Linked DNA regions of Drosophila melanogaster. The protein of the gene in region 4 interacts with the protein of the main gene of each other region in a pairwise test. Each region holds a gene or a part of one and is shown on either strand. Other genes may lie near its edges. The genes, in order: mid, fs(1)K10, CG32548 and CG2157.

What was found.
Region 1: the proteins of CG2157 (region 4) and mid interact in a two-hybrid assay, tested with the Drosophila melanogaster proteins (one large-scale study listed by BioGRID).
Region 2: the proteins of CG2157 (region 4) and fs(1)K10 interact in a two-hybrid assay, tested with the Drosophila melanogaster proteins (one large-scale study listed by BioGRID).
Region 3: the proteins of CG2157 (region 4) and CG32548 interact in a two-hybrid assay, tested with the Drosophila melanogaster proteins (one large-scale study listed by BioGRID).

Annotation. Positions count from the first base shown.
Region 1 is NT_033779.5:5,459,796-5,467,640, reverse strand, and holds mid (midline), read right to left. Parts: upstream 6,003-7,845; 5' UTR 5,724-6,002; coding exon 5,537-5,723; intron 3,823-5,536; coding exon 3,372-3,822; intron 2,422-3,371; coding exon 2,136-2,421; intron 1,748-2,135; coding exon 929-1,747; 3' UTR 31-928; downstream 1-30.
Region 2 is NC_004354.4:2,240,294-2,246,547, forward strand, and holds fs(1)K10 (female sterile (1) K10), read left to right. Parts: upstream 1-1,844; 5' UTR 1,845-2,015; coding exon 2,016-3,311; intron 3,312-4,163; coding exon 4,164-4,259; 3' UTR 4,260-5,748; downstream 5,749-6,254. Other genes in the region: kz (kurz), read right to left, coding at 1-1,213, 1,275-1,466, 1,535-1,609; Or2a (odorant receptor 2a), read left to right, coding at 5,938-6,254. UniProt on the Drosophila melanogaster protein: May be involved in localization of sqd to the oocyte during oogenesis.
Region 3 is NC_004354.4:18,435,207-18,442,180, reverse strand, and holds CG32548 (uncharacterized protein), read left to right. Parts: upstream 1-1,599; 5' UTR 1,600-1,772; coding exon 1,773-1,991; intron 1,992-2,104; exon of another isoform or gene 2,105-2,206; coding exon of another isoform or gene 2,207-2,365; intron 2,366-2,418; coding exon of another isoform or gene 2,419-2,487; exon of another isoform or gene 2,488-2,514; intron 2,515-2,920; exon of another isoform or gene 2,921-2,970; coding exon of another isoform or gene 2,971-3,285; exon of another isoform or gene 3,286-3,313; intron 3,314-3,947; exon of another isoform or gene 3,948-4,029; coding exon of another isoform or gene 4,030-4,677; exon of another isoform or gene 4,678-4,691; intron 4,692-4,880; exon of another isoform or gene 4,881-5,053; coding exon of another isoform or gene 5,054-5,179; intron 5,180-5,379; coding exon 5,380-6,318; 3' UTR 6,319-6,462; downstream 6,463-6,974. Other genes in the region: CG43841 (uncharacterized protein), read right to left, coding at 2,207-2,365, 2,419-2,487; CG32551 (uncharacterized protein), read right to left, coding at 2,971-3,285; CG6290 (uncharacterized protein), read right to left, coding at 4,030-4,677.
Region 4 is NC_004354.4:10,867,326-10,871,229, reverse strand, and holds CG2157 (uncharacterized protein), read right to left. Parts: upstream 1,947-3,904; 5' UTR 1,851-1,946; coding exon 1,839-1,850; intron 1,494-1,838; coding exon 1,121-1,493; intron 1,048-1,120; coding exon 689-1,047; 3' UTR 527-688; downstream 1-526.

The DNA.
Region 1 (7,845 bases), on a different chromosome or scaffold from region 4:
AATTCCAATTAAAAAAACGTTGCTAGTTTTGGTTCACATATTTTTATTTATTTTTGATTGGTTTTTGTATGTTTGTGTTTTTTTTTCTTCATATTTTTCGTTTAATAATTTTTGTTTAAATATTTTTCGTGTTTTCACTTTTTTTAGCGTTCACATTGAATACATATTATGGTTTTACTCTCCTTTAATTTATGCTAAATAAATCTTTACGTTTTCGCCGGATAAATATAACTAACTGAAGCGTCTATGAATTTACTGTTAATACTATGAATATATCATTATATATAATAGCATTACTAACGATTTATGCTTACACTACATAGCTATATATAGTTTACAATCGTGCAGCGTTTTATTTATGTATATGTATATTTTTTTGTTTTGCTTAGTTTTTGAGTGAATTTCGTTCTAACTTTACACTGAGATGAGTTTTCGAACAACATTTAAACATTTGTACAATAAGTTAAACTAGATTACAAAAATTGTCTAGGGGAAAGTGAGAAGAACTGTACAGCTTATACATAATTTAAGATTTTTACAACAAATAGAGAAAAGTTTTTCTTTGCCTTCATATAAACAACAAATAATTTACAACATTCAAAAAGATGGCTAACCTTTTTTGTGTAGTTTTCACTGGGCTTAAAGGTCGTCTAAATTGAAAAATAAAGCTAAAGTTTAAGCAATTTCATTGACTGAAAAGAAACTCAGCAGTAATATTTGCCAGAAACGATCTTTTTTATAAGAAATCATATCGGAAAGCAAAATATTGTATTAAAAACTTTTTGACGATTTTTTTTTTACGTTTTTTTTTAAAGTATTTTCTTAGTATTCCAGGAACTTTTTTGCATTTAAGAGACGACCTTTAACCCCAGTGCTTTCACTTTTTAATACTGCTCGTGGCAAGAACTTGGTGGCGTGGGCTGTTAACTTAGTGGGCGGGGCTGCGTGAGGCGTTTACCGCGGGTGGCGAACCGGCGGCAGAGGAGGGTGGCCCCTGACCGCCTGGCAGTTGGTACGGACTGAACCGCTGATACTGGCGCGGTCGCATATCGGGCGACGGCGATCCCGACGACGTCGACGAGGGCGTGGATGCAGTGGGCGGGGGTGGGGGCGTCCGGTTGGCGGCCATCGCTGCGGCTGCCGCCTGCGCCTGCGCTTGGGCCTGAGCGGCGGCTTGAGCGGCGGCAGCTTGCTGATTGGCGCTGGCCAAAAAGCCGGCGGTAAGTTGGGGCCACTGCTGCTGGAACATGTGGAAGGCGCCCAGGCCGGGGGGTGGCGGAGGTGGTCCGGCTGCCGCTGCTGCCGCTTGGTACATTTGCGGCATCATCAGCTGGGCATAGGGGGAGTTGCCGCCAAACATTTGCAGATGCTGGCGTGCCTTCTCGAACAGCGCCATCGAGGAGGGATCACCCTGAGCGGCAAACTGTTGCATCAGCGGATCGGGAAAGAGGCGCAGTGGCGAGCGGAGCTGCTGCTCCAGGAGCAGCGCCTCCATCGGATCGCGATCGAAGTCGGTGAGGCGGGAGGAGTCGCGGAAGCCCTTGGCGAACGGATTCGAATCGATCTTCAGCTTGGTGATCAGCTGATTCTGATAGGCCGTCACCGCGGTGAATACGGTTTCCGGGAATACGTAGGTCTTGTGATCCAAGTCCTGCAATTCCTTGGGATTCGACGGAATGCTCTGTCCATGGCTCAAACGCACCAAATGAATTCTGGGCTGGTAGCGATGCATCGAGTTCAAAACGATCTGGAAGGGAATAGAAAAGAGGGAAAAGGTTTCATTGTAGTAAGTCGATTGAAATTTACATAGCTGGGAATTAGGAAAGTGCTTAAATGATTGAAAGTTATCTTTAATATTCTTTAAAACTTTTCATAAATTAGATAGAAGTATATTGTCCTAAAATTCACTTCTTGAATTGAACACGAACATTTTCCATTTTCACAGCAAAGCAACATTAATCAACGATGGTCTCTAGACTCGCAACTTGGCGAATATTTCTTCGTGTTGCAAAATTATCAATTATTTAGCACTCGCGGCTAATCGCTACCTCAGCATCTGAATGTCTCAGCAGCCGAGTATCTGCGCATCTGAGTATCTCAGTACCACAGCGTCTCGGTATCTCAAGTCAACTCACCTGTCCGTTCTTATCCATTTCGTTATTAGTCAGCTTCACCTTCTCGAAGGAGATAACTTGTTTGCGGAGCGCCTCGCAGCTGAAGGGACTGTCAGGATGGGCGTAGAGGCGTGCTGGGGGGGCGGGGTCGGCCTTGCCGGCCACCAGCCATGCGGAGCGATGGTAGGCGTACCGATACCGCTTCGAGTCCATGGGGATGATGTCCATGAGGACGGCGTAGCGATCGGCGGGCTGGATTTGCCTCAGCGGACCCGAGAAACTGACGCGCACAGTGGGGAACATGCGTCTGGAAGAGGTAACAAAGTTAAATTAATTCGATTAGATTTTTGCTTTCATTGAATGCTCCCTTTTTTTGGGGATTGCTATTGCCACACAGCTAGTTAAGTCGACTATTTATGGCCCAGACACTGGGGCTTCAAGCTGATTTTTTCCCATATTTTCCTTTTCGATTCTCCCTGCTTTGACAAGTGCAGACAATGAAGACAAAAGCGAAACTCTTCCTTCATTTTTTGAGTCACAAACCTGTGTATCCCTCTTGTCTACATCCTGTGGTTTAATGTCCCTCCAAAACCCGGTGACATAACCTCCGGCCAAAAAGGCCAAAGGCGGGCATCGGGGACCGCCCTGATGTCTGCGACTCCGAGGTGTGATTTTTACAATATCATTAAGGTGTATATATATCTATCTATATGTGTGACCTGTGTGCGTGTGGTCAGGTGTGTGGGAGCAAAGGTGTGGACAACCCGTGGTCATTTGGATTGAACTTGTTCCCATTCTCCCGCTGACAACAGCAACGCCCATAGCTCTGATTTTCTCATTTTCTTCCTGCGCAGGTACACAAATGTTTCCTTTTTTTTTGCACAGTTTCCCTTTTGGAGGAAATAGACCCCACACATTCACTCAAATGGCATGAAATTTTTGTTGACACTGCAAAAACCATTTGGCGAGCCAATTTATGGGCAACTGACTTAGGGTGAACATCTTTGATGATTGAACACGCAGACACTTGATTGTTCAATAAAGAAGTTTTGCGGAAAAGTGATGAATGCAAAATATTTTGTGAAAAGAGTATATGTTTGGGTAATGCCATTTGGCAGCAACTTTTACCTCCCAAAATCTCCCACGTTGCTCCACCATTTAAAACTAATGCCTGTTTGCACTAAACTCGACTGACTGACTGATGGTTGGATGGATGGCTGGATGGATGGATGGCTTGTTGCTGGTTTGGATGCTTACCTGCCCGTTTTGGTGATGATCATCTCGGTGCCGAGATCGTGAAAGCGATCCCACAGCTCTTTGGTCTCCAGATGGCACTGCACCGGCTTCAGATCGTCGCAATTGCAGGAGCCGACAATTTTGGGTGCCTTCTGCACCGGTTCCGGTGTTAAACGCTCCTCGCTGTCCTCCGTTCCCGGGGATTGGGGCGGTGTGGAGCAGCGTCCTTGGCTGCTGGTCGAGCTGGTGTTCAGTTGGGATTCGGCGGAAGCTGTTTGTGCCACGGCGCCACCGCTGTTGCGACTCTTGTGTGCCACATTGTTGTTGTTGTTGTTATTGTTGTTATTGTGGTGGTGCTGGTGATGCTGGTGGTGCTGATGATGGTTCAAACGACGCGCCTTAGTCGGTGGCTCCTCGGCATCGCTGCAGTCGACCACATCAACGTCAACCTCATCCTCCACCGAAATGGGACCTTAAATGACACGAGAGGAAAAAGCGAAAATTGAAAATTAAATCTGAATTACACCGTTCGTTTTGGAGGTAATGCAAATTAAAATGCAATGCACATGGGAAAAAGCGTTAAGTAAAATCTCTAAATTGAAGCCTTCAATATATTTGGCACTAAACACTTTAAAGATCACAATGTTTCCTGAATTTTTCATCACTTTTTCCTTCATAACTTGTGCGTCTTATTAACGATTTTTCCGTTGTGCATTTGGCCAAAAACCGAGGCCGTGCTTCCGTTGACAACATTGAGTGGTGGAGCTGATTTCGCGGCAGACAGCGTGGAGTCGTCTCATATTCTTGGAGTTTCCGCTTCGCTTCGCGTTTCAATTGCAATGAGACAGTGCGACGACGACCGCTGGCTTAATTGTCAAACTGAACACAAATCGGCAATTAAACAGCCCGAAACTCTAGCTGCGATTGCTCTTTTCCATTGCATAAACAAAAGCGGAGGGCTTTCGTTCAAGGTGTGTGCGCAAAAGTTGATGAATAATATTTTTGGGCTTATCCATGGGCGAACTCTCACATACGCTTTCCATTTTCCATAAGCCGAAAATGGTAACAAAATGATGGGGAGAACTAAGCAGCCCGGTTTTTTTGCAGGTGAGCCCAGACGGTAGGTGTTAAAATGCAAAGTAAGCAAACGGAAAACGGAAAGCGACCACAGAAAACAAAAAAAACAAAACAAAATATGAAATTAAAAAAGCTGCATATTTGATAAAGAGATCGTAAAATACGAACACCTCGTAGCGTTTTTGTTTTGATTTCGGCCGTCGCTAATTTTCTGCGCCTCGTAAAATTAATAAAATGAAGCACATTGTTGAAAATTAATTAACATAATTAGCAGCCTTTGTTAAATATGAATTCCGCGCGATTAGATGCTGTGCACAATTTGCATATTATCATAATATCGGCCACAAAAGAGCGCTGCAAGTGTTTGCTAACAAATATCTGGATTCGCGATCTTTGGCTCGACTTAATTGCGAATGCCGTCGGCCAGAGAGAACTAGTTTTTTCTTTTTTAACGTGGCCGGAACGCCTGCTAATTGTCATTAGCAATTAAATGGAACTCTGCGCACCCAAAGCGACAACAGTAATTTAATAGATTTGTTGTGCAATCAATTAGCGATTGTCTTGTGGCTAATAATGTTTGCATTCGCTGGTCAAGTTTGCGGTTCTCTTCTTGGGCGTTGAGTTGTTAATCACGTTTAATTTGAATTAATCGTATAAAAATTCCATTTTTGTTTTAGCAATTTCTAGTTATTGTGTGCTGGTATGTTAAGTAAGTTTTTGTACAGAAAGCACTGCTAGGAGATAAGTGAATATCTAAAGTTACAACTACCTACTATGATTAAAGATTGTTGAATTAGGGAACTTATAGCTTGTCAAATGAAGTTCTAAACAAAAGTACCCTATGGTATTTGAGACTACAGAAATGAAAGTATCTTAAAGATATTCTACATCTCATCAATGAATCTTGCTGTAAGTCTGTTAAGCCTAAAAAAATCTTGTTTAAAAATCACTATATAATCGAAATGCTTAATATTCAAGGCATTAAATTTCTAATGCATAAAAATATATTTTTAAGAACAAATTGTTCCTATCAACCGATTAATGATTCTGCCGCTTCCCACAGAATTCCTTTCTTATTAAGGATATTTTCAATATGTATCTGAACTTACTTGCACTGCGAATGGAGGACTCCCGACTGGAGGCATCTTCGCGAGCCATGATGGCGGCGATGGAAAAGTCCGTCGCTGAGCCGGCGGCACTTTTGCTAGCCGTTGTTGTTGTCTGTCCACTGGCATTTGGTGCTGCAGGGGCGGCGGGCACCCCGTTGCACAAATACGGATGAGATCCAACCAGCATTTTGAAGGGTATGATGTTGTTCTTAATGGGGCTTTAACTAGGGAATACCTTGGAAAGGTATTGGGGTATTGTATCTGGTCACTTTTCAACACTTGGCACTTATAAAGCTAGATGCATCTTTAGCTTTGGTAACTCGAGGGGTATGTGTATGTTTCAAGGTGTAAGTATCTTGTATCTTTATATCTCTCTTGCTTTCTTTTGCTTATCTTTGGCGCACGCGAACTGAGAATCTCGCGGACTGAGTGTGTGCGCAACGGAAGGCAGGCGACGACGAACTGAATTGTGTCAGGAAAATGTTGCCGCTGAGAAGCCAAAAACGACGGCAGGCGCAAAACTCGGGAAACCAGTTATTCCTCTTATGGTCCCTATGTGTGCAAGCGAGACCACCCTACAGCGAGCCGCGCCAGTACGAGTGCAAGCGGGATAGCCCTATAGCCGCACACTCTGAGTGAAAACGCCACTCGCTCTCTCGTTTTCCAATTGGAAAATCGGCGGGGGAGTGAACGTGCGACAGAGAGAAAGGCGGCGCTGTCAGCAACTTGCGCCCCTCTCTTTTCTTCGCCTCACCTCTCTCTCTGACGAACGCGTCATAACTCATTTACAATTAAAAATGTCGGCGCTTTTGGCCTTCTCCCTCGCACCTCTCTATTTCTCCATAGCGAGGTCTCTTTCTTTTTATTTTTGCCTCTCTTTCTCGCCCATTTATGAAGTGCCAACGTTTTGCTTGCGGTTTTTCTTGGTCTTTTTTTTTAAACAACTTTTCGCCGTTGTCGTCGCATTCCATTTCCTGTTATCTCCTCTTCTGACGTTTTCTTCCATCTTCCGTCTGTTCCATTTCGTTTCCAACACGTTCCGTGTCTCACTCAATTCTGTTTTGAGTGAGTTTTATGTCTCTGTTTTTTTTCTGCAGTTGCATCCCGTTGTTTTTCCTTTCTTATTTATCTGCAAGGACATGGACCTTGAGTCAAGGTTATTGCAATGGGACGTTGGGAATTTATTAGTTTGAGCTCGAGAAATTTTTCTGTGCTCTAAAAACATGAATAAAGAGTGCGAAAATAACTACAAGTTTATTTAAAATGTATATGCAATTTGAATTTATTTCGGTAAAGGGAAGAACATATTTTAAACAATTCGCTTAGTACATATTATAGAAGTCCATTTGAAAACATAGTATATCTATAAGCATTAGTCAAGACATTTTTATTTGTAAAGCTATATTTTTTTATATTCAAGAGGATATGATCATGAAATTTAGATTATGGCGATTCAAAAAGTTAACAGGGATATTTTTCCGTTAGTAATTATATACAATTCCACACGCTGTATGATAGAAGCTAGTCCTCTGGAAAATTCCCCCATAATATTTACAGATGTCAACAAATTGTTATGTTTCCCAGGCAAAAGTCAAGACCTTTGTCAGTGCCAATTAACCCGCTAAAAAATGCAAAGAAAATGCGGCTGCGACAAGGAAACTCGAAACAACTGACAGTTCGTCACATTCATTACGTATTGCTCGGATTGCCAATTGCCATGACGGAAATCCTGCGATCCTGAAAAACGGAACGCGGAGATCCAAACTAACTAACAAGCTGACTAATCCCGCTTATCCTGTGCGAGGAACAAACCGTCTTGTTGTGTGATTTTTGTAATTTGAGACATTTTTTAAGTCGGGTAGCGACAAAGTGGGCATGTCACTTTGACACTTTCGCCCTGGGAGAAATGGTGAAAGTGGACGGGGAGGGATGCGTCGTGTGTGTTCTGGTTACAATTGCAGTTAAGTTGATAGCTATAAAATGTTTTATCAGCATTAACAAATTCAAAAGCAAAACGGACGATAGCATTATAGATTGGGATAACTTTAAATACAATTTTATGACACAAGAACGCTGGTTCTAAAAAGTAGAGTGCATACTTTGATTCTAGAAAAAGGTTTACACTTCCTTTCATAAAAAGAGCCTATGTTCCTAATATGTTGGCCTTGTCTGTGCATCTACATGTGTGTCTTTTTAGGTGGCAGTCCCGTATGTCACCAAAATGTCAAAAGCCAAGGAAAACACAAGTTGTGAAAACAAAGGGCGGTCGATCTGAAAAAAAAGTGGCCACTTGGCACTTGTAAAAATAA
Region 2 (6,254 bases), 8.6 Mb from region 4:
TGCGCACCAGTTGGTTGACCTCCTGCTGTCCCGTCACAAAAATTAGTATGCCGCCTTCCGGAAGCTTATTATGGATTTTTAAGGTCTTGCGGTAAGCCTCCGCCACATAGTCATCAGGTGTGCGCTTCTGGAAGTGAATAGTCACCGGAAATTGTCGAGCCTCCACTTTAAGCAACGGTGGCGGAATCTTAAACAAGCGAGTATTCTCTGTAAAATCGGATACCCGCAAAGTGGCAGACATAATGATCAGCTTCAGCGGCTGCCCGCGTTTGTGACGCAAGGGCACGATCCTTGACAGGAGACCCACTAGGATGTCTGTGTAAACACTGCGCTCGTGCGCCTCGTCCAGGATGATCACTGAGTACTTACTAAGCAGAAAGTCAGTTTCGATCTCCTTAAGCAACACACCATCTGTCATGAATTTAATGCGCGTCGCTGGTGTTACGTTTCCCTCGAAGCGAATGAGGTATGACACCTCGCTCTCCGGCAGGTTCATCTCGTGGGCCACCCGCTTGGACATGGCAATAGCAGCCACTCGCCGCGGCTCCGTCACTCCAATCATCTTGTGCTGGGCATACCCCGCTTCGTACAGGAACTGCGGTAGCTGGGTAGTCTTTCCAGAGCCAGTCTCACCAGCCACGATCACAATGGGGTTTTCGTTGATTGTCTCCATCACCTGCTGCTCCTCCGCGAGGATAGGCAGTCGAAGACGGGCATTCTGAACTTCTGTTGTCCGATGTACGGGCACATAGACAGTCTGGTGGATACAGGCAGGTGGGTTAGGCTCTGGCTTCAACTTTTTAATGGGTGGTTTAACAGCGATTTGCGGTGGAGCTATAGACACTGGAGTGGGTATGGCAATAGGAGCGGATTGAGCTGGTGCCTCCTCATCGTCCTCATCAGAGGATGAAGAATCTTCGTCATCTTCCTCCACGCTAATTACATTCGGATTCTTTCGCTTGGCCTGTAGTTCCTCCTCCTCTTCGACGAGAAGCTTGCGCTTGGAGCCCTTTATAGCATTTACGCGGAGACCCGACGCCGAGCTTTTTTCAGCTAAAACTTGGGCCTGTCTTTCCTTTTTCTTGGCTAGATACTCGTCAAGGGTGGGTAGACGCTTTAATCCCACGGTTTGCACTTGGCTAATGGAAGTATACTGCTGCAGCTCCTCCTCCGGAATTTGAACGGCAGCAAGGTCACCCAACAGCTGAGCGCGCTAAATTAGAAAAGATTTCAATTAAATATCAGTTTTATATTAGCACTGAATAAAAACCTACACCCTCTTTCTTTTTCTTCTTGTCCACAATAGCCTGGAGGTGCTTGCGCTGCTTCTTGGAAAGGATCTTCACGTGTTGCACTTTGTCCACCTTAATCTTGGTGGCCCGCTTCTCGGAGGGCAGAACCAGAGCGTTGGCCTCATCGTAGCCAACCTGGTTGCCGCCGGCCACAGCATCCACATCGATCTGAATCTGTAGAGTATTGGATTTGGAAAGGGTAAGAAAGCGGATTCGAGTGTGTGGTCCGACGGATGACCTACCTTCTTCACGGCCGAGTTGTCCACAATTGTTTGTGGATTCTGCCGCGCCTTGGCATTGTGCACCTTCTTGCCCATGATTACTTTACTTTACCAATATAGTTAATAAAATAAAGTAACAGAATTAACTTTGGGCAATAATATAAACATTGATTTAAATCACACGTGCGAAGTACGCTTATCGATAACAGCGCAGGCGATAACAAAAGTTGAGATACTCTAAAATGTGCTGTGATGTTACATTTGTGTTAGTGGAAACATACATTAGTGGGAAAAACTGATTGTTATAGTTGTTCACACTCCTTCGACAGCACTGGTATCGAAACGTTATCGCAATCGATTCATCGTAATATTTTCAATATAAGTTTTTGTGACAAATAGGCGTGCAACATTTTAGATCCATCTGCTCCCCGCCTGTCGTTTCGGCTTGGCTCCTCTGCTCGAGTCCTGAACCCCCGTTTTCAGTGAAATCCAGCTACCTGCAATGGTGTCCAAGAACCAATTCTATCAGAACTGGACCATGCAGTCGCAGCAGCAGCACCCGCACCAAATGCAGCAACAGTTTCAGCAACAGCAGCAGCCAAATCTGCAGCACCGCAACAACCAGAGCAACAATAATAATTGCAACAATAATCCCCGCGCAGCTGCGGCTCCGTATAGAAAACCGTTTCGTTCGGGCAAAATTAACTCCGGACCAGGAGGAAATGGGAATGGTAACAGGGTCAACGGTAACAATCAGATGATGTTTTCCTCCAGCCAAATGCCGAGCGATCCCCTGTACATTGACTTCAGCAGCCCGCCACCAGGATTCAAACACAATCAGGTAGGCAGTCCCAAGAAGAAGTCTATGAAGGGCATCAAACAGCAGCAGCATCCCAGTCCGAACCAGCAGCAGCCTCCCAGTCCGAACCAGCAGCAGCATCCCAGTCCGAACCAGCAGCAGCATCCCAGTCCGAACCAGCAGCAGCATCCCAATTCGAACCAGCAGCAGCATCTCAGTCCGAACCAGCAGCAGGGCAAGATGAACAACCAGAACAACAATCATATGAACCAGTCGCAGCAGCCCTTCAACAATCAGATGAACGGAAGCGATTGGCAGCGCCATCCGGGCAACAATCCCAATCAGATTCGCGGTGGCTTTAATGGATTCCAACGCGGGCCGCCTCCGAACCGTCCTCCTCCACGCCTCATGATGGGTCCGCCAATGGGTCCGATGGGCCCCGGACCACGGGGACCCGGACCGATGGGCCCTGGAGGACCTTACCCGCAAATGCCTTTCCCGCCACCGGTGCCTGGTATGCGCGGTCCCGGACCCATGGGCCCCATGGGTGGACCACCACCGCCGCCGCCACCGCTCTTTATGCGTCGCAACGGACCCGGTCCAGGTCCTATGATGGGTGTCCCACCGCCCATGCACATGATGGGTCCACGGATGCCGCCGCGGGGAATTCCACCGGTCGGACCTTATGGACCAATGAACATGAATGGCGGCCGGATAATGAAGCCCAATCCCAAGCTAATCAAGCAGGTGGTGAAAGGCAAGAGCAGCATAAAGACACTAAAGAACCTGATCAATCAGTATCCCATCGAAAAGCCCTGGGTAACGGACGAGATACGCAGCGAGCACGACAAGAAGGTGGACATCGAGAACAGATTGAAGGGCCACAAAGACGACGAGCTCTTCGCTCAGTACAAGGGCCAGCGGGACAAGTTCGTTAGTCTCTACGAAGCGGCGCGGGAAGAGTATCTCAAGCAGGAGGCAGCCACTGTCAAGGCCAAGGTGAGCATATAGAGACCCCCCAACATATCCTTATTCCCTTGGAACAGGTGTCCCATCCGAAGCTCTATTCAGGGAGGCACACCGATTCCGGGTACAGTTTCGGCTTAATCCGGAATCACTTTGCACCCCTGATTTGATCCGTAACCCCCACCCGTCCCTCTTTGTTGCGTTTGCCGGGCGGTAGGAAAAAAATAAGAGAGCAGAGAAAGTGAAAAAGTAAGTCTCAACCTGATGCACTCTCTCGCATTATCCTGCAGTCCTGCGGAAGGTTGTTGTCATATCTATTTTCACCTTCGGTTGTTCCCTTGGCACTGATATATATCCGCAAAAGAGAAACTATTGGCATATATTTACAACCATAGATTTATTAGGAACTGAACAAAATTGTGTAACTATTTAGAACTGCAATACAATGTGTTTACTGCCACCTTGTATACAAATTTAAAAAACTAATAGAATTTTGTACTGTTCGATCGTGGCAGGCGTAGTAGATTCATAAATGCACTCTTAGTAACTTAATATTCTTAATTGAACGAGCCTCAGTACTGAATCCTATGGCTGTTTTCATTTTCCAATTTGGTTGGCATGTGAAAAGCGAACTTAATGAATTTTAAACTGCCAGAACATCAATTTAGTTACTTAATTAGCAGATATAACCCAACTTATGAAACTCATTGCATATGAAATGATAATGATTTGAGTGATTAATGTTCGTGGGCGTAGTTATCTGGAAATAGCCAAGAGAAGTTCGCAGAATGCATTTAATAGCGAAAACAGATCTGAGAGCTCTTTTTACACACTCAACAACCTTGCTATTGAACACCGTTGGCAATTCTCGTATTTCTTTTGCAGGATGCCAAGTCAGACAAAGACAAAAACGCAATTTCAAGTCAGAGCGCAGCCCCTAAGGCCGGAAGCGCTAAAGATGCAACAATTCCAAATCCCTAGGCAGCCAATGCAACCGAATCCGAATACCGAATCAATCGAATCGAACCGACTAAAGAAGAGGTCGGTCGACTCACAGAACTAAATGTAAACTTAAACTTTAAACCAATGAGCAATTCAAAACTAAAACTAACAGCGAGCAACAGCAAGAGTCTGACAATTGAAGACGAATATAACTCAAAACCCCGACTCCTATATCGGATATACGTATACACAATCGTAATCCGAGGAGGCGCCGCCTTTGTCACACGTTGCTTTTGCGACTGAGAACTGAGCTTAGAACGATAATGTAGCAACAAATACAAACCCAGCGATAATAATGTGGGCGAAACTCTAGTAATAGCGATAAAAATTTAGATTGCGAATCGATTCACTTGTCTAACGTAACCTAGCGTAACGTAAAGTAGAGTATTGAAATGTAACCGTAACGTAACGTAACGTACCAGTTTCCTATTCGAAAACTATTTGTTGTTCAATTCTAAGTTGCAGCCATTTCAAGTATGTGTACACAATTTATGACACGCCCTTACCTATATATGTATGCATATATATTGATATATATATATATATAAATTATTTTCCTATTCGTTGCCCGAGTGCGTGGGCGCGACATAATTGAAACAGAGTGGCCGGATCCTAAGCACTCTGGCATAAATCACACTGTAGGCCTTAGATTACACCACTTGATTGTATTTTTAAATTAATTCTTAAAAACTACAAATTAAGATCACTCTGTGAACGTGTGCTCGATGGTGTGCATCTACGGATTTGTTTTTGTGTTCTTTTTCCCCACCCAACCCCGTCCCTGACCCAATTCCGCTGTTCTCTTTACCGACTTGTAGATTAATCACGCTCTTGATCTTCATGACCGGATCCACCTGACAAGTAACGCCAAAGCAGCCCCACTTAGCGGAATAGTAGAGCCTAGGGGACCCAACGTAAAAACTCTAGTATAGCACCAATCTCCCAACCAGTTAACATTATACCTAAACCCATGGTCAAGAGTAAACATTTCTGCCTTTGAAGTTGAGAACACAATTAAGCATCCCCTGGTTAAACCTGACATTCATACTTGTTAATAGCGCCATAAACATAGCACCAATTTCGAAGAAATCAGTTAAAAGCAATTAGCAATTAGCAATTAGCAATAACTCTGCTGACTTCAAAACGAGAAGAGTTACAAGTATTTGTAAGGCACAGTTTATAGACCACCGACGGCTCGTTAGGGCTCGTCATGTAACTAAGCGCGGTGAAACCCAATTGAACATATAGTGGAATTATTATTATCAATGGGGAATATTTAACCCTCAGGTAGCAAAGTAATTTAATTGCAAATAGAGAGTCCTAAGACTAAATAATATATTTAAAAATCTGGCCCTTTGACCTTGCTTGTCAGGTGCATTTGGGTTCAATCGTAAGTTGCTTCTATATAAACACTTTCCCCATCCCCGCAATAATGAAGAATACCGCAGAATAAAGAGAGATTTGCAACAAAAAATAAAGGCATTGCGAAAACTTTTTATGGGGGATCATTACACTCGGGCCTACGGTTACAATTCCCAGCCACTTAAGCGACAAGTTTGGCCAACAATCCATCTAATAGCTAATAGCGCAATCACTGGTAATCGCAAGAGTATATAGGCAATAGAACCCATGGATTTGCCCAAAGGTAACCGAGACAATGGAGAAGCAAGAGGATTTCAAACTGAACACCCACAGTGCTGTGTACTACCACTGGCGCGTTTGGGAGCTCACTGGCCTGATGCGTCCTCCGGGCGTTTCAAGCCTGCTTTACGTGGTATACTCCATTACGGTCAACTTGGTGGTCACCGTGCTGTTTCCCTTGAGCTTGCTGGCCAGGCTGCTGTTCACCACCAACATGGCCGGATTGTGCGAGAACCTGACCATAACTATTACCGATATTGTGGCCAATTTGAAGTTTGCGAATGTGTACATGGTGAGGAAGCAGCTCCATGAGATTCGCTCTCTCCTAAGGCT
Region 3 (6,974 bases), 7.6 Mb from region 4:
TTTTGGGTCTCCTTCTTTTTTGCATAATTTGCGCTGTTTATTTTGATGGCTTATGGTGGGGTAATCGTAAAACGACAAGCATTTCATTCGGAAAAGTCAACTTTAATGGAGAAAACACGCCCGGACGGAAACGGAAAGTACGACCCCACATGGATAGATAGGACCCAAGCCCCAAGGAATGCAGCCGGAGTGAAAGGAGAAGTTATGGCCATTACCCCGGGGCACATTAAGTTAGGAACTCGGTTTGGGTCACTTTATTGGGGTAATGCGGGTCAGCAGGCACACAAACACACAGACAGACAGGCAGACAGTCGGGGACAGACAACTTTCAATCGTGTGAAATGCGCTTTCAATTACACGCCGCATAATGAAATGCGCAAATAAATTTATGACGATCACGTATCACGTATACGCAACGGTGGCAGGTAAGCGCGCGCTTAAGTGACCATTACGCACTAACCACCACCAGGTCTTTGCTGCTTTCATAATAATCGTTGCCCTGCCAACGGGCCAAATCTCATTGGGCCATCAAAACTGCATTCCAATTGAGCCGATTTTTCGCTTCTTACTCTGGCCTTAACCCCGCTTCCGTATCTTGGTGGCTAAAGCCATTCGTACACAGCGACAAAAGCCCACTAGTCTTCTCACTTCATCATGCTCTGCGTTTAGAGAACGATGGGTCTGAAGGCGCACTCGTTTTCGCACCGTGTAGCCGGCATTTGCAAGTTTCGCTTTTCGGACATATCGCGCATTCCGGGCACGTTCCTATAAACAACGTTTTATGCCGGTGTTTATGTTTAGTTTGCCGTTCGCCCAGCGGGGGCGGATTGTTATGTAAGTGCCAAAGAGCATATTCAATTTGAATTGGAATTGGAATTGCCATCTACATCTACACCCTCCACTGCACACTCCTCCCCGCCGTTGTTATTGCTTATTCCATATTCCGCAGGCAGACACCAAAGTTTAAAGAAAGTTATCCACGCAAAATGTGAAACAAAACAATGCGGGTGAAAATTAAAATAAAATATATATCGAAATTGAAATTATGGAAAATTATATTAAACGCGACAGGGTAGGGCAGCTTTGTCAAAAAAAAAGAAAAAAACTTGAAGGCACAGCAGTTCAATTGGATTACATTAGATATCTTGGATTTCAGGCAACGATTTCGAATAGAAGCTATAATACTTTCCAACTGCACAGAGAAAATCAAATGACACCTTTTAAAAAATAATCTAATGGATGATTAGATTGAACCTATTATTGAGAAGTTAACTTCGTGAAATATTTCGCTCTAATGATAAACTGAAGTCATTATTCTATAAGTGTTATTAAAATATGATTTTTCAGGTGCTTCATAAACCGAAAATTGAGACTATTATTATCTTCAAATTTGGTTCAACTATTATTTACTTCACTTTATTCACACATTTAAGACGTAAAGAGTACAACATTTTTTGGGCCAAACTTTATGGCCAAAATATGTATGCATGTACGCTGTTTTTGGGGCCAAAAACTGAAGTGGCAGAGGCAGAGAGCCAAGCGTGGACATTCCCCAATCGAAGGCGGTATAAAATCGGTGGACAGTCGGCGGGCGCTGCACAGTCAACCATCGACGTTCGCGAGTCGCGTCCGCTTAGCTGATAACGATCCATAGTCCGATTGCACGGTTGCTCGGACATACTGCCAAATCAACGGGAGACGAAGTCGAGTTCCAATACCAGGCCATCCAGCCATCCAGCCATCAACCATCCATTAGCCTCACCACGTAAATCATGTTCGCATTGGCCTTGACGGTGGCGGCCTTGGTGCTTGCCGGCCAGCAGGAGGTGTGCCGCGCACAGGTCTCCATCCACACGGACGCCAACTCGAACTCCTACAGCCTGAAGACGCCCGGAGTGCAGCAGACCTTCACCCGGTACTACGGAGGAGCGGCCAAGAACCAGCAGGTGGAGCAGCCGCAGCTGCAGCAGCCGCAGGAGCAGGAGCAGTTGGTAAGTACATCACGGCAATGGTGAGGGGTGAATCTACTATTGAAACTCTGGGAAAAGCACATAAAGTTAAACTTGAATTTTAAAATTGCTTAAGAAAACACTGGATAACAATTATACGAGGGAAAAAGTTGCGGACACACTCTTCAATTTAATTTAATATTTAGCCACATGGCGTTGCTTTAGAGTAGTACTATGAATTGGAATTCGAATTGAAATTAACCGCCAAAGTTTTGGATGTTCGATGCTTGTTCGGGTAGAAAGGGCGTTCCATTGAATGTCCCGTCACCATACTCCGAACTTTGTGGGCCCTGCATATTGTTTTCGAAGATCTCCTGCATTTGATCGACGGCGTCCATCACATCAGTGGGCATATTCTGCAGGGAATTTGGGTATCAAGGATATACGATACGAGTACGAAGTATCTTACCTGTGACCAGACGGGCGAAATGCTCCAATGGAGCAGACCTAGACTCAGGATTAAAATAGGCGATGTCATCCTGTGATGGCTTCACTTCCCAATAATTGATTGCCAAGAAGAAAGCCAGCTATTTAACCTGTCACTTTCTAGTTATTCTGCTTAATTACGCGAAAAACAGATATGTTTTCATGTTTACATAATCTAGATGCAACATCTAGCATCTGGTTTAGTTAGCATGCGAGGTTGTTATTGGCAATTAGCTTAGTGGCTTACAGATCTAATTAAACCAGAGATGAAAAAATCTCATTTTTGTTGGTTGGAAAAGCATTTTAAGCCGAATCATTCAGTGCCTAATTGGTTATCATCCGCAGATGTATACCATATTACTTAGTATTGTCATTTTGTAGTATTCAAAAAATAATTATAAATACCCGCTTGGAAATGTACCTAAATCAAAAGCAATCAAGTTGGCTTTCAACGGATGATATTTCCCAAATCAAATGAATGTTTTAAATTCTTTGCTACGCTTTATTTGCTCGAAACGAAAGTAAAACGCCCATTTCAGCGGTTAGAAAATACTTCATTGGGTGAATCGAGATCCGTGGTGTCGGAGAAAAGGTTCTTGAGTTCCTCAAAGTAGTTCTTAAACGAGTCCACCATCGCGTTCCAGGCTTGGGTTATATTTTGTCCAAACTCCCGCGCCGCATCGCCGATCCGCTTGTCCAGCCTTGGATCGTCGGGATAGACCAAATGCGGTCGCACATCGTCGTACTCGTTGGAGTAGTCCAGATCGAACTCGTCGGCCCAAGTTTGGGCCACCAGAGCGAGGGTCAGGGCCACGATTAGTAGGGCAGAGAATCTGGGTCCGGAAATCATTTGGCCAACTGTTGTGCCCAGCCACCTGAATGCGCCTTTTGTACCCAGCCTTTTTAATTCAATCAGATTTCGACCAGACACGGAAATGTTCGAAATGCATGTCGAGATGCATCTCATCTGGCCCGGAAGTGCCCACTGACCGTTGGCTCATCGTGACTCGGCTCGTTTCCGTATCTCCCATCTGGACAGCCTTCAGTAGTCGAGTTGCTGTGGTGACCCCAATGGCCTTCTCCTCGGACCACTTTCGATCGGATTGCTCAGAAATGACAGTTCGCTTTTTGCTTTATTGCCTCTGCCTGAGGAATCTTTATCGATTGGGGGTGACTCTTCGGCGGTGACCTTTTTAAAGAGCAACAAATAAGGTTGAGTTCTTAAAGGTATGCCACTTTAAAATGGTAACCGGATTCCAAGTTTTGGGTCACCTTGGTGATATGTTTAGTTGAGCTCACAAGCATTTGTAGTTTAAAGACGGAGTACACGTTTTTTTTGACTCTAATGCCGTTTGGGGTCACCTTTTACCAAAGGTGATTGGCCTTAATTGGCTACTACATTGATAATATGATGGGGTCTTAAAATGGATGTAATCTATAGTACATATTTGAATGAAGACGTAATCGTAATGTTTTTGGCCAACCCAGAAAACATGCCGCTCAACACAGTTTCCGGTTTTCAGTTGATTTTATTGCACTTATAAACAAACAAAAAAAATACACTCGATGGTGGTCGTCAGGGAGCTCGGTGATTCTACGCCGTGGAGTTGGCCGTTTCGGTGATCTTCTGGCGCACCTGCTGCACCACATCCGCTACGTTGTTCACAAACGAAAGCCACATGGCCTTGATTCTGGTGCCCAGGCCCAAGGGATCCGCTCCGTCCATATTCTGTGTCACTTCCATGCCCTTCTCCTCCTGCCGTCGTCGTCGCACCAACTTCTTGTTCTTTTTGCCAGTGGTCTTGGGACTCACTCGGGATCGGGAGGCATTGTTGGCGGCCCGCTTTTGAGCTCGTCTCCGTCTGGCCTCCACGTCATCGTCGGCGGACGCCGCTGTGGTGGCGGCAGCGCTCATTTTCCAGAAGCAAGGAGCGCGTTTGAGGCGATGCAGGCTCCGCCGCCTTCGCTTCCGACGACGATCCTCCTCGGATGAATCGGTGGCAATGGGACGTATGGCATCTCCATAGCCAACGGCCGTTTTCGAGTGCACGGACATCAGGGGATTGTCAATGTCGACGTCGCGGGAGATGGCGGCGCCACTCTGAACTGCCTCCGCTATATTTCCGGCCAGAGACATGGCGCCCATGCCCAGCGACTCTAGCGGATTCTGTGGACCTGGCCTGGCCGCAATCATGGCCAGACCCGCGACAACCAGGAGAAGTGCCAGCTGATGGCGATTCATCGTTTCTAACTGTAAGGTTGCGGCATTGCATCCGCGCTTTTTAAGCCATCGAATCGCGTGATTCCCTTCGATACATATCGATTTGAATCCACACCATGGCACCGATGGCTAGTAGAGATCACAGTAGGCTTTCGGATTGGCCCGACGACAGCTGTCAGGTGTCACCGGACTGGTTGAGCTATCCAGTCAGTATCACTTGCTCGCTCAGTCGGTTCAGATCGGTTCGTTTTACAATTTTTCCCGCTACAGACTTCGTAAACAAATTGTATCAAAATCTGAATTTGAAAATCAATTTTTGGCTATCCACACTCGAGCTACACAACCTCTCGTCAAAACTTTTAAGTTTACATCGCGACAAACGGAACAACAGGGAATCATGAGATCCAGCAAAGTTCGTGGGGGCAACGCCAGTCGATTGGCTGACGCGGAGGGACAGTGGGGAAAGGGATGCCTGGGTTCCCAGCACTCAATTATCAAGAATCACGGGCGTGGCCTTTCATCCGTGAGTAAAGGAAAGCGTGTTATAAGCTCAATTGTATGAATATTTTACAAAACGAAATCAAAAGTTACACATCGAAAACGGCCTACTACTTGCGCACATTAGACACTCATCTAAATATCATTTAAGCCAGTTCAGAATAAGGATAAAATTGTCCTGGTTTAGCTTCCATTCTCATCCGTTTATTCCTCTAACCTATGCAGCAAACTCCCACGCAATTTGGTGGATTCTCGCCGTCGGGACAGCAGTATCCTGCCGTGTACTCGCAGCCAGGATTCCGGGCCGATGGTAAGCTGAAGGTCACGCCCAACTCGCTGCTCCAGCAGCAGCAACAGCAGCAACAGCAGCAACAGCAGCAACAGCAGCAACAGCAGCAACAGCAGCAACAGCAGCTCCTGGCGCAGCAGCAGCAGCAACTCCTGGCCGCCACATCGCCGCAGGTAGCAGCTGCATCCGGACCAGGAGTGGGCGTTAGCGGTGGCGTGGTCAACATGCCCAGCTATGCGGACCAGATGCACGCCGCCTTCCTCGATTATCAGCGCCAACGAGCCGAGTTCGAGCAGCAGCAGCAGCACCTGCTGCAGAAGCTCTACCACTACTATCCCGATGTATCCGGCGGCCTAACATCACCGGCTCATCAGATTCAACCCCAAACCCCCCAGATAGCTGCTCCCGCCGATGTGGGAGGCGCTCCGGCGGGCGTGGCAGCACAGAACGCAGCTGGCCGCTTCGCCTACCGTCGGCCGCAGTTCAGCAACAATGGCCTGCAGCCCGAGCGCCTTGCATCCGGATCCATTGTGCCCGGAGGTCCAGTAAGAGGAGGTCCAGTTGGAGTCATCCCGGGAGGAGTGATCGGATCAGCGCCTTTGCGCTCCAACAGTCTGGGAGGGGGAGCAAGTGGAGACTTCTACTCCACGCAACAGCACATGGGCTTCATGCAGCAGCAGCAGCAGGACGTGCTCCGTGACCAGCAGCAGTCGGTGGCCCATCAGTTCGCCACCAGCCAGTTGGCGCCCACCACCCGCCAGAGCTATGGGATGGCCGTTCCCATGTCCTCCGTGCTGGGATCCCCCACCTACCAGCAATCGCCGGACGTCTCTCATGTGAGCTTCTCAAGCGGCAATCTCAACTACAGCTTCTAATGATGATGAGCTGTTATTCCAAGGACTTCCAAAACTAGTATTTTCATTTTTTTTTCACACACCTTTTTTTTTGCGTAAATTTTCGTGGTATTTGATAAGAGGAATTGTTTAGGGCAAGCAAGAATAAATTTTGTAAGTGATGATAATTGTTGGTTTTTAGAGGGGTGGATGCATTTCAGGCTTATCAAATGGTGATTATGGCTTACGAAGTTACGAGGGTTAGATTTGCCTGAAGAAGAGTTTGAATGTGCACTTCTGGCCTCGAGTTATGTACTCTAGTTAGTTGCTTAATTAGCCCAAATCCATCCTATATGACCCAACAGCATTTCATTACTAATAAACCATCGGCACGTGCTCCGTGGAATCTAGCTGGTCAGTTAACTGGCCCCACTTACCAGATTCATCATGGCTAATGATGGGTCATTCCTAATCGGCAACGCTCATCTTTAACACGCCGCCGAGCTCACGTGCAATAAATGCATTAATATTGCTTTGAACGGACCGCCTTCGCATTGGCACACAATTGCTGCCATTGAATCTGTTTATAGAGTTAATATAATCCGTCCCATGCCATCGTACATCCCACTGGCGGATCCATTTATCCGAGCAGCCAGTCGCAGTCGCAACGGCGACGGACTTCGATTGTTGGGGTATTA
Region 4 (3,904 bases):
GACCGATGTACTGCAGCGACGACAAGGAGTACGATTGCAATAGCCAACTGGAGACGTACATTCGCCAGGGTCTGCCCATGCTCAAGTGGTTCGGCCTGGAGGATCTGTTCTACAAGCACGGCGTCGACGTGGAGATCTTTGCGCATGAACACTTCTACACTCGCCTGTGGCCAATCTACGACTACAAGGTGTACAATGGCAGTGCCGAGGCGCCATACACTAATCCCAAGGCGCCCATCCAGATCATCACGGGTTCCGCCGGCTGCAAGGAGGAGCGCGAGCCCTTCTCCAACGATTTGCCCATCTGGAATGCCTACCATAGCAATGTAATTGAATGACCTGCTTAATATCAAAACGGAATACTATAATTCTATAATCTCTTTAGGATTACGGATACACCCGCTTGAAGGCACATAATGGCACGCATCTTCACTTCGAGCAGGTGTCCGATGACCAGAACGGCGCCATTGTCGACTCCTTCTGGGTGATCAAGGACAAGCATGGCGCATATCCATCGCCCCAATGAGATTACATGCATATATAAATATATACTTTCTAGTTAAATGACGATTATGATAATGTATTTTTTTGTAGCATCTTTTAATAAAAATAAAGTTAGAAAAAAATATATCGATGAAAAAAAATAAATTCCACTAGCTTAGATCTTGAACGTTGGACCGTGCGGTGTCTAGTAGACGGTTCCCGAGATTCCGGAACCGTAGTTATAGCCCGATCCGATGGGCGGCACTCCGCCCAAAGCGCCCAAGCCGCCGCCCACCACGCTGTTGCCATAGTTGCTCGTATAGTAACTGGATGGATAGCCACCAGCGCCGAATCGGGTGTTGTAGTACGGATACCCAGTGCCGGCTCCAGCGCCCAGCCTGCTGTTGTAGTATGACAGGGCGTATGGATTCGAGTTGTAGGAGCCACCATAACCACTAAGTCCCGATCCATAGCCACCAAGAGCGGATCCATAGCCACCCAAAGCGGATCCATAGCCGCCCAGAGTGGATCCATAGCCTCCGTATCCGGCCACTGCAGCACCATCTGGGGATTGAGAAACAGCGTTGGTATACTACGAGTCTTCGGCAAGAGATTGAGAGTCTTCTTTCAAGCTCACCCTCACCTAATCCACCCAGAGCTCGCGAGCTGTACGGATTGTAGTAGCTGTCCACGCCAACGCCGACGCCACTGCCGTACGCTCCTCCATAGCCGGCTCCCAGGCCAGAGGCATAGCCGCCGTATCCTGCGCCATATCCGGCGCCATAGCCGCCGTATCCCGCGCCGTAGCCCGCTCCGTAGCCACCGTATCCACCAACATAGCGCTTCTCCTGCTTCTTATCCTGCAGCGGGGCATAGCTGCTGGCGGCGCTCACCTGATCCTCCACGGCCACCGCATCCGGTGCCGATGCGGATGCCACCTGCTCCAGGTCAGAATCCGCCGCGTCCTGGGCATAGGCACTCAGCACCAGACTGGTTGCTATCAGGATAAACTGCGCGAGGATAAAGCGTCACCAAAATGTATCATATTCAAAAGATTACCACTTAAAACATATTTCAATAAAGTGAAAAGTACTTTTTAACAATAGTATTTTGTTTAACAAATTCTCAAAAGCAACATAAAACATATTCAAAAATGTAATAAAAAAAATGTAAAAAATATGTATCAACTTTAAACTAAAATTTAAATACACTTTATAATTTAACAATGAACATCAAGCATTTGGAATACAATGCTTTCAAAACTTATTATTCACTTTAACGAACTGTGTTTTTTAAATCATTTTCTAGTTTTTGGGAAATTATAATCCACGAGAGATCCTTTGGCGAGTCCTTACAAAGCACTTCATGTTGTGGCTGCCGGTTTGTGGTGTTCACTGCTTTCTGGTGGCTAACTGCTCCTTCAAGACTATGATGCGCACGCGCCGTTCGACACTTGTCTAATGATTCCCCACCGGGCCGGCAGTCGCTTTTATACCCGCCGAGCCCACTTCCAATCCCAGCGAACTCGAGCCGCGAAGTTGGACGCAACTGTTGCATCCCAGAGATTCGTGTCGCCTTGCTTGCCACCTATGTATGTATGACGCATGCCACTGGACAACGTGTATGCTGATGGGTCTTGGCTTAATCATCAAACATATTAGATTGAATTTATATCCTGGATTAGATAGTTTCCAGAATCAGATGAGCTCTACTTAACCCATTTATGGAACAACTCTGGATCAACTTAGATTGCTAATATTGTATATTAAATACATATTTATAATCTTAACTCTTTTCTTGAAGAAAACAATACCTTTCGAATGATCTACTTATGAAAAGCTGGTTGGGCGTGTTGATGTGTGATCACACATCATTATGAATATTCCCACGATCTGGGGGATCAATTATACCGCCGCCGCTCAGGAGAAGCAATAACAATGATGACAAATGCTAATTGAATCATTAACTTGACCCTGAAACAGCTAATTGGTCAACATAAAACGCGAAAATGCCCAACGATTGCAGCTTTGAAAACAAAGTTTAAAAAAAAAACGTAACAGCAATCATGCGAGTCCAGTTGAAACGATTTAGTTAGATAGATAAATATTGCGGCTAGTACGTGACTCATTTCATGAACAACAGTATCGAATTGGGTTTTCACTTTCCAGCGCTTATTTAAGCCAACTGAAATTGTTAACAAAACATCGCAGAGAAGAAGAGCCAGGCGGATCTGAATGCTTGAATTTCGCCAACAAAGGTGGCAATTGTTAATTTCTTAGAGGCTTTTTGGCCAAGTGCCTAAGCTAAGTATCCCCATTCCAACCAACATTGCTGACACATTTTCTAAAAAACCTAACGGATTGGAGTCGTAACTTCGATTGGGTTGAATGGACTGAATTAGGTTCTACCAATCTGGGCGATAGTTTTAGCATAAATTCAGGGGTATTCCACATTTAAGTACATTTAATCTATAGAGTTTAGTACAAGAAACTAAAAAGTACTCAGATGTTTCAAATAACTTTAATAATAACTTTAGCAAGTGTTTGAATAATAAAGTAGCATTTAAGAACATAACGATCTATATCCGTTTGCCATTTTCCAAAACTGCAAAACTGTAGCTTGTATCTGTGCAGTTGAAGTTACGTGTGCCAATAGCATTGCGATACTTATCCACGGATATTTACGAAATATGTCAAAATAGTTGTCGATGCCATGCTTGTGGATAGCCACATAGTATATACATACGCTTGTCATACCGCCCATATGAGTGGGTTCACATTGTTCGACCCGGCGGGCATGTGAAAAGTGTTAACTGATTCGACTGACTGTATGGATGGATAGATGGTTGGAGGGATGGATGGATAGATGGAGGGATGGATGGAGGGAGGCAACCGAAGCTACTGCCGACTGCTATGAGTTGACTTGGCCATGGGTGCACTTTGGCGATGGCCTGGGAGTTTCTCGTTTTTTTTTTTCTTTTCTTGTGCTCTTACCCCACTGAGACAATGGTTCTTTAATGCCGAGGCCTAAAAGCCCATTACACGGGCAGCCCGTGAATCTCGCGGTAAGTGGTAGCCTCCATTTCTTGGCCAACCCGCGCACACGGGGCGTATGAGTAATCAAGGAAAAGCAAGCACGGTGCAAAAATCAGATTTAGAACTTTGTCAGTTGAGATAGAGCCAGTTAAAAGCATAAAAAAATGTGGAGCAAAACTAGTATAGTGATTTTTTCAAATATCATTTAAGTTGCATATTTCATCTCAGAATTTTAAGACCATTCTAATCCATTATTGTATTCAAGAGTTTTTCTATCTTTGTATATCACTCAGTTCATGTTGTATCTTTTCCATTGAAGTATACGCACCTGTTTTTCGCAGTGCATTCGAAGGGAAGAACCAAATCCCAGATTAGACAGGTAACAT